Linked DNA regions of Yarrowia lipolytica. The protein of the gene in region 2 interacts with the protein of the main gene of each other region in a biochemical or structural test. Links are inferred from orthologs where the notes say so. Each region holds a gene or a part of one and is shown on either strand. Other genes may lie near its edges.

What was found.
Region 1: the proteins of YALI1_F20820g (region 2) and YALI1_E29085g form a complex in vitro, tested with the Saccharomyces cerevisiae proteins (2 studies listed by BioGRID). The link is inferred for Yarrowia lipolytica from reciprocal best matches to the Saccharomyces cerevisiae genes RAD51 and RDH54.

Annotation. Positions count from the first base shown.
Region 1 is NC_090774.1:2,906,761-2,912,075, reverse strand, and holds YALI1_E29085g (uncharacterized protein), read right to left. Parts: upstream 3,540-5,315; coding exon 717-3,539; downstream 1-716. Other genes in the region: YALI1_E29115g (uncharacterized protein), read right to left, coding at 245-359, 402-544; YALI1_E29074g (uncharacterized protein), read left to right, coding at 4,239-4,302, 4,663-4,868; YALI1_E29065g (uncharacterized protein), read right to left, coding at 5,142-5,315. UniProt on the Saccharomyces cerevisiae protein: Involved in the recombinational repair of double-strand breaks (DSB) in DNA during mitosis and meiosis. Has DNA dependent ATPase activity. Promotes D-loop (displacement loop) formation with RAD51 recombinase.
Region 2 is NC_090775.1:2,080,365-2,083,839, forward strand, and holds YALI1_F20820g (uncharacterized protein), read right to left. Parts: upstream 1,699-3,475; coding exon 709-1,698; downstream 1-708. Other genes in the region: YALI1_F20831g (uncharacterized protein), read left to right, coding at 2,784-2,894, 2,948-3,058. UniProt on the Saccharomyces cerevisiae protein: Required both for recombination and for the repair of DNA damage caused by X-rays. Its function may be modulated by interaction with other repair proteins. RAD52 interacts directly with RAD51, via its C-terminus.

The DNA.
Region 1 (5,315 bases), on a different chromosome or scaffold from region 2:
TTGGGAGCATGTGATGCGCTTAAACTTTTCCTCTTATCGGAACTCTAACAGTCCCATTAATTAACAGGGCATTTTGACGTTTGGCGAATACAGTACGAGTACGCGCACTCGTGGGTGATGTATAACGAGTAAAAGGTCGTGGAAAGTGATGGAAAGTGATGGGAAATGATGGAAATCTGGTTTTTCGCTCTCAAACACACCAATAACGTGATATACAGTCTCGAACGGCATGTACGATAGCGCATCATACAGTGCTTGTGAGCCTCAAGTACAGAGTGCACTCCTGGAGTATGATACGAATACTCGTACAGTAGTGGTTCAGACAAGACTGAATTGGCAAGCTCCGGTGTCTTATTGAACTGTTACAATGGATAATATTGTTTGGTTAGAGAGACTAAAACTGATGTGTTGCTGGGCCACAGATAGCCGTAAACCAATCTTCACCCGTTACAACTGCTCTGTACAACACCATCTTACCATAGTGTTTTGTAGAGACTACTTCGGTAAGTACGAGTAGCCCTACTAGAAGGCGCTTGGCTCCCATCGTCACCAACACTCGGCATCCAGGAAATGTGAACCAGCAGCAAGAACCAACACCCGTTTATGTGAAATTTGCCTGAAATGAAATACAAATTACAAGTAGTGTCGTGCCATTAAGTAAGTTCCAATGCATTCCATCTATCGCTATGCTATGCAATCCCGTACCATTTTCTCTATCATTCCTCCACAACGTCCACCGTATCAACCTCGTCTAACGCTTGAACTGAAGTCTTGGTCAGAATATAACTAACCAAATCATTCTTCTCTCCCACAATCTTCTCCAGCAACACATCTCCAATCTCAGACAGACTGTCCCATTGCTCACGAACAACATCTGGACTGATATGCTTGTATTCCAGCAAACTCTTGAGACTCCTCTGTTGTTTGTCTTGGTTCTTCTCCAGTTCACGAGCCGTAGTGAACGAATCTGAAGCTGTGGCCTTGGTCACTTGCACTTCCTCAACCACCTCTCCCAGATCACCTCCATTGTGTTCACACTTGCACTCCATTAAGTCATGCGTATTACAATGGGTCAGCACGTCCATAGAGAAGAGTTTCTTGAGCTCCTCATCCGTGAACGTATCAGCCTCTTCTGTGCCTTCAATCAGGGAGTTGGCCAGACCGGTCTTGATAGTTTGTCGCTGGAAAATCTTCTCGTCAATGCATCCAGTAGTAAGGAGACGGTAGATATACACGGGCTTCTTCTGGCCATCTCGATGGATACGAGCCATGGCTTGTAAGTCGACAGCAGGATTCCAATCCGGGTCAAACAGGAACAATCGAGACGCACCAATCAGATTGATACCCACTCCTCCAGCTCGCGCCGACAAGAGAAACACAAAACAGCTATCTGCGGAAGAAGAATTGAATTGTTTGACAATCTTGGCACGTGCAGAAGCTTGTACGGATCCATCCAGACGAGTGAATGACAGCTTAAGGTCCTTTACCAGCCCCTCAATAACATCCAGAGTTTGCGTAAAGGACGATACAATGACAACCTTCTCTGCGTTGTCAGGATCCATCTTGTTACGTGCTCGCAGTTGACCAATCATGCGAAACAGCGTGTTCATCTTACCAGAGTTACGCAAATATGCCTTTCCCGAGTCTAGGGCTGGTCCATCCTCAGACAAAAGAATGGGCGAGTTACACACTTTTCTGAGTGACAGTATCGACTTGAACGAGTCAACTTGGTGGCGTTCGAGTCGATTCAGATACTCGGAAGACAGCTTGGTGTATATTTCCGTTTGCTGGGCGTTGGGGAGACAGAAGAGAACAGTCTCAGTCTTGGGGGGCAAGAAGCGAGACAAAATGTCAGCAGTTCGACGTAAAATGAACTGGCCAGTGATTGACGACAATCGAGCAGACTGTTTTTGACCCTTTTCGAGCTCACTGGGGAATGCATCGGGTGCACGAGACCGCACAATGGGAATTATGTAGTCTTTGTTGAACTGCTGGAAAGAGCCCAGTAGACCGGGATTGAGGAAATCAACCATGACAAAGAACTCCTTGAGATCGTTCTGGATCGGAGTACCACTGAGAATGATCTTTCGGGCGACCCCCAGACTCTGGATGGCATTAGCGGCTTTGTTTCCGGCAGTTTTCATTCGATGACCTTCGTCACAGATGACCAGATCAAAGTTGGCAGACTGCAACTGATCAGAAATTCGCAGGAGACGTTCGTAGCCGATAATCATCACCTGGTTTACCCGTCCATAGGTGAAATCTCGAATCACCGTTCCCAGATCAATGCTCATACTGTCAGTAATGGCCATAACACCTAGTCGTGAAGGGCCCAACCATTTCTTGATTTCAGTCTTCCAGTTGTTCACTAGAGTCACAGGACAGACAATCAGCACTCGTTTAGCTAGAGGAGGTTCCCCTTTGAGCGGAGTCTGCTTCAATAGCGTCCAAATTAAAGCAATCGACATCAGTGTTTTACCCATACCCATTTCGTCGGCCAAGAGAGCTCCATAGCCTGATGTGGGGTTGAAACCCATCACACAACGGTACAAAAAGTCGACTGCTTCGCGCTGATGAGGCCGAAGGGCAGTGTTCAACAGAGGGTCAATTTTGACATCCTGAATGAATGTCGCAAAGTTTTCCTCTGTGATCTTCTGTGGTAGTTTAACACGTAGACGTTTCACTGCCTTGAAAGTCGTGGGAGCAGGAAGCGTGTATGTTTCCGTCACAACCGCTGAAGTTGCTTCAACTGACAATGGCTCTGGAGTATCATTTGTTGGAACAGGAGACTCACGTAATGCGGAAGCAGAACGACCTTTCTCAACTGCTGTACGTGACTCAATATCCTCCACCATGCCTAGCACTCCTCTTTGGGCCTCCACCACGGTACTTTCAAGTTCGATCTCTAGAGGACCCACCTTCAGCACCTGACCCTCTTCAACGACTACCTGGGGCTGCAATTTGAAACCCCGAACGATCCCCTTACCTTCAGGGGTGTAGAGCGACAGTGTTTCTCCCTTAACGACCACGATTCCATCTCCATCCCATGTCTTATGCTTCTTTTTGTGCCCCAGCTTCTTTCGATACAGAGCATTGAACGAGAGGTTTCTGGCGCTGATTCTCTCGGACTCCACGCGTTCCTTGCGCTCCCGGATCTGGAGCTCCTGTTCAATCTCCTCGGCAGACCTCAGCACACCCAGATCCGCTTGTCTGGCACGTTTTGGTTCTGCCACGGCCTTGAGCATCTGGGCCGCTTCTTCCTTTGAAATGCGTCGGTTTTGCTCCCGGAGTTCGGCCTGTCGTTTCTTTTCAGCTTCCTGTTTCTGGCGCTCTTCCTCCTCCTGTTGCTCCTTCAGCTTTCGTCGTTTGACCCGCAGCTTTTCCTGTTCATCATCGTCACTGGCACACTCCGAGTCGGACGATTCTGATATTGAGGGTTTGGGGTCGGTTTTTGGAGGCAGATTTTGCGTCAGCGGCTTGAAAGGCGCCAAAAGAACATCGGGATTGGGCACCCGGCGCTTCGCAGGGCGTCGATACATGTTTTTGAACAGGCGTAGACGCGTCGTGAAATGAGAAAAGTCGTGTTCTAATTAGAGTTGACGTGCTTTGGAGGATGTAGGAGAGGAGAGAAGATAGATGGAGGCAAAAGGAGGAGATAATATGTGACAGAAGGTCGGATCTATACCATAGTTTGATTGAGCTAGTAGGGGAGTGTCACGATACCATCTTTTCTGCAATGAGAGCTGTCTAACAAAAGTAGGAGAGAGAAATAGGTCAACAAGATGCGTCAAGGGGTGTGATTGGTACCAGTAATTGGTACCACGGATATATTAAAAGTCGGTATTTGTATCAAGAAATAAAGGGGAGCAGAATGATATATGTAGATTGTATTTCTGTGATACAAGTACCATGTCCAGTGTCTAGTAGGTACTGTGGATTGTAGATAGTCTTTCCTACTTGTACTGCTTCAACTTAATGTTCGATGAAGGACGATGGTGGAACTTTGCGCGTCATTCTAATTACGGCAAAAGTTGTCTGATTGAGGTGATTTTTCTCTTAATCTGTAGTGTAAGACTAGATTATTTGAATTACATTACCTTTTTCCAGATTTATGAACAGTGAAGCACAATTACTGCTTTCCACTTCATCTCTTACAAGAAGGGAAATCAAGCTCAACATGCATAACCCACTCTACTATCTCCACACAGCAACACAGCACAACACATACGATAAACACAATGGCTGAAGAAGAAATCGACTACAACTCGCAGCCTTGCCACGCCTATGCCTGTCGGATCCAGGGTGAGTAAATACATGGGAATGGGCTTGACTCTCAGAGGGTGTGGCTAGAGGAATTGAAGGCAGCCTACACCTACTAGTAGGAGGCTAGCCGAGTAGGTCACTCCAAGTAAGCGACTGGATTACTGCGAAGAGTGACTGTTATTTCACGAGCTTCTGCTGATCGGACCTTTGATAAGCTTGGATATGGGTCAAACGCCGATCAAATCCCTCATTGAAACCGTTCATTCTACAAAACTACCATCGAGCCCTTGATCTGACTCTGTTAATGTCATTTTAGACAACAGGCAAGAATTCCAATGGCTCTCCTTTTTTGAGATTGATGTTCTCCGTACCCCAGCTCAACTTCAACCACTAACACAGACTGCCTGCAGCGATCGGGCTACAACGAGAGCAAGTGCACCAAGCTGATTGACGAACTGTACGAGTGCTGTGCCAAGTTTTACATGTCCAAGGGTGAGGATGCCCGATCCACCAGTTGTCCCAAGCCCAACCTGCTCAAGCTCAAGATCCAGCAGCGAGAGTCCAAGGATGTCGATGCCGTTCTTCTCGAATTTGCCAAGAAATAGAGAAGACATAACCAATTCATGTATATATTAACGATCAATTGCGGCGCGTACTTGTAGTAGCTCCGGGGGATTAAATGAGTACACCGGAGCTCTCCAGTAATTGGCTATAGTATATTGTGTGCTAACAGTCGCCATGGCATCAGAACACTACATACTGTATGAGCCCACGACTTACTCATCCGATAATGATCTTAGGAAGAAGAGAACTGTACCATTCAAATGTTTTCACCGAGGCGACTCATCAGATATCTTTGTATTTCATTTTGGGCTATCCTAACACAACATAAGGGTCCAGCCACTCGTACCTACACAGCTGGAGATGATCAAGATGGATGGAGCTAACACGGCACAGTGTGTGTATGTACCAGTAATATAGAACAATAGACCACAAACACCCCCCGCCTTGCACCCCATTATACCGACATCTTCCCTAGACTCGCTAACAAA
Region 2 (3,475 bases):
TAACTTGTATTTTTTTTTTTACTTGTTTTTTTTTTATTTTTTTTTTGTTCTAGGGAATACTCTACAACTTCTCGAGGCCTATAAACAATGGTATACCAGCACATCGGTTTCAGATTCAACTGTTCTGAAGAGCACATGACCCTCGTGTTCGCTTGTCCACCTGTTCTTCCAGTTCCATATCGAAATACGGCGTTTTTTTCGGTGTGATGCTCCAAATTCGAGATCAAATACCGGTGTCCTACCCGGGACACATCGAGGGCGTCTGGTGTAGTTGGTTATCACATGCGCTTAGCATGCGCGAGGTCCCCGGTTCGATTCCGGTGTCGTCCATTCTTTTTTGCTTCTCTCGTGATATATTGTTTCTCTACTGGTTCCTGGGCTGTCTTCACCCTGGCGTTATGATCTGCTGACTCAGCGGTCGACTCTCGTTTAGTTTAGGCTGTGTGATGTAGTAGTCCTTATTGCGACGAATTTTGCAGTGTTGAGATAATATTTTCCATAATATCAAATAATTGGAGATCAAAGATCCCTTCTTCCTTTCCATGAACTCTTACCGAGTTGGTTGTAAGCACGATGTTCGCAGAGACCATTCCCGTCGACTCAGGTAATCAAAATGGGACCATGATGTGGTCGAGATGCTCGCTACAGTCTCGAAATGATTAAATAAAATGGGTCTCACTATTTACTGCAACCATTGCTTTCCCTCGCCTACTCCTCATCCTTGGGGTCTCCGATTCCATCCTCATGAATAGCAAAGACACACTCGCTTTCTGGCAGACAGGGCGAGTCGTAGATCTTGCAGATTCGCTGCACTCCTCGGCCCTTCTTGAAGTAGAGCCGGGTGGTGGACGCATGAGCCACAATGTTTCCTCCAATGGGCTTCTTGGGGTCCGGGTTGAACACAGCTCCATCCACCTGGGCAACCACCTGGTTGGTGATCACCACTGCGATGCCAAACTCATCGGCAAGGCGTTGCAGGGTTCGCATGAACTTGGCCACGTGGGTCTGACGGGCAGACAGCTCTCCTCGTCCTGCGTAATCTGTTCGGTAGAGCGCCATGATGGAGTCGACAATGAGACACGAGAACCGCGACTTGGTCATCATGTTGGCCGCCATTTGCAGCAGCTGCATCTGATGGTCCGAGTTGTGGGCTCGGGCGTATGCCACGTTGTCCAGCACCTCGTCTCCGTTGAGTCCGTATCGCCGGGCAATCTGGTGCAGACGTTCGGGACGGAAAGTGCCCTCTGTGTCAATGTACAGACACTTCCCCTCGCCTCCTCCCTGATCGATGGGAAGCTGACAGGTGACGGCCAGAGTGTGGCACAGCTGCGATTTTCCCGTTCGGAACTCACCAAACATCTCTGTGATGGCTCCGGTCTCGATACCGCCTCCCAGTAGAGTATCCAGTTGCGACGAGCCTGTGGTTAGTGTGATGAGTCCAGAACGGGTCTGGTGCACGTCTGAGGCGGTGGTGAATCCCAAGGGCACCAGTTTGGACGCCTCTGATAGCAGCTTGTCGGCCTTGGCCTCACTGATGCCCTTGATGGTCAGCAGGTGTTTTTTGGGCGTGTACGCCACACTCTCCACTGTGTAGAGTCCAAACTCGCCCAGGCGGTTGATATCCGTCTGGGTGATTCCGTTGACGGCCAGGCGCTCGATGGGGATGGCGCCCGCTCGTTCGATTTCTTCGTCGGCCATTTGAGGGTGTGTTTTGCGAATGTCGCGGCAAGATCCCCAAAAAAAAAAAAAGACGTGTTGTGTCTTGACTAGAAAGGAAGTCTAATTTACTGAAAGTGGTGGCGCGTGCGTTTTCGTGTTGCAAAGTATATTGGGTGGCGTCAAAACAGAGCATTCGGACGGCATCCAAAAACGTCAAATAACGGGATAGAAAAAGCTGACTAATCACATAGCTGCCAGTAGGGGTATCCTGAGTCTCCTTGAAGCGGATTTCCGCCCATCCCCACCTTTAGAGGCTTACAATCGAGTCTGGCCCGTGGAGAACCGCGGTTTACGTCGTCGTTATTAAGCTGTACGTCGACGTGCACATTTTATGCATGGGGTGGATCAGGCACCGCTGAACCGAGAATTACGTTTCTCACGCTGAGATTCCCTGAAGGAGATCATCTCCCACAATGTCATATCTACGACGGAGACGATATCCGCGACAGGGGAATCATGCGACGAGGCTTCCTATACCACTGATTCGGAACCGCGAGGGGCTGGAAAGAGGGTGAGAGAATATAAGAATCTTACTGGCAGACGACACATTCCCAGCGACAGGAGACGCTCTCGGAAACGTCCGTACTCGGTTCACGAAATGGACGAATGGTTCCCCGAAGCTGCCTGCTAAATCAACATTCCTGGTGCTCGCAATGCCGCAGGCGACAAGGAAGTTTTAAGACACCTCAATAAAACAGGTTATCACGCCCAAGCCCTTATGAGAATGAGCAAAACGCTTGACGATATCAAGGGCTGCAGTTTTCCATACCTCGATTACATGATCAGGACCAAGAGTTTTTCTGAAGTGGTCAGCAATGCCCAACTTGATAAACCCTTCGCAAAACGGATTGGTTGTGTGTGTATGGACCGAATCTTGGAAGTTCAGCACGGTTACAGGTCCATCTATAAAATGACAGGAGAGATGCCATTGGATTTTTGGTTTACCAGGGTACTACAAGACTCTCAGTTCGGGCTCATCCAGTTCAAGACTCACTCGAAGATACGGAGGCTGTGTTGAAATCTTGGGCTACGTTTGGAATGCCTTGTGATATTCCAATTCTACAATGCTGATAATACTTGGTGATACTGAACTTCGACAATGTCAACTGGGTGGTAGTCACTGGGTGGTAGTCAAATCAACTGGGTGGTATGGTCATCTGGGCGAAAAGCAGCCTGTGACTGCAAAAAGGGTGGACCAACATATACGGTAATGATGTGAGGTATTCAGACGGATCCAACAAGGTCACACCGACAATTTATGGCAATAGGCATTGTCCTAGGTGGTCTTCATCGTTCCATCACTCCCCCACAACGAGAATGCTCCTCGGGGTCCTGCTGAACGTGTGAGGCAGAAGTCAAGAAGGAGTGCAGGGAGCAGTCATAGAGGGTTCTGGAGCTTCAGGCTGAGCTCAATGAGCTTGACAAGCTTAGATATCAGCCCCACAAGGCCGCCCCGAGTGGTTCGACAATGAAGCAGGATAGTTACAGGTACACAAAGGACTAAATTCCAGATCCAAGGCAGAGCAAGTGTACCCGGCTGCAAGGATAAATGGTAAGCTGGAGAAACTAAAGTATGCCAGGCTCAGTGAGTGTAGATCAGAGCGTCCCATCCAGAGTGAGGTTGTTGAGCCTTCTGGGGGTCGGCGTACTTTGTTCAGCAGCGAGCTTCTTGTTCCATTGAGCAACAAGGGGGCAGGGCAGAAACTGTGAGGGTGCTAGAATCCTCACTTGCTGAACAGGAGTTTGCCATTGCTGA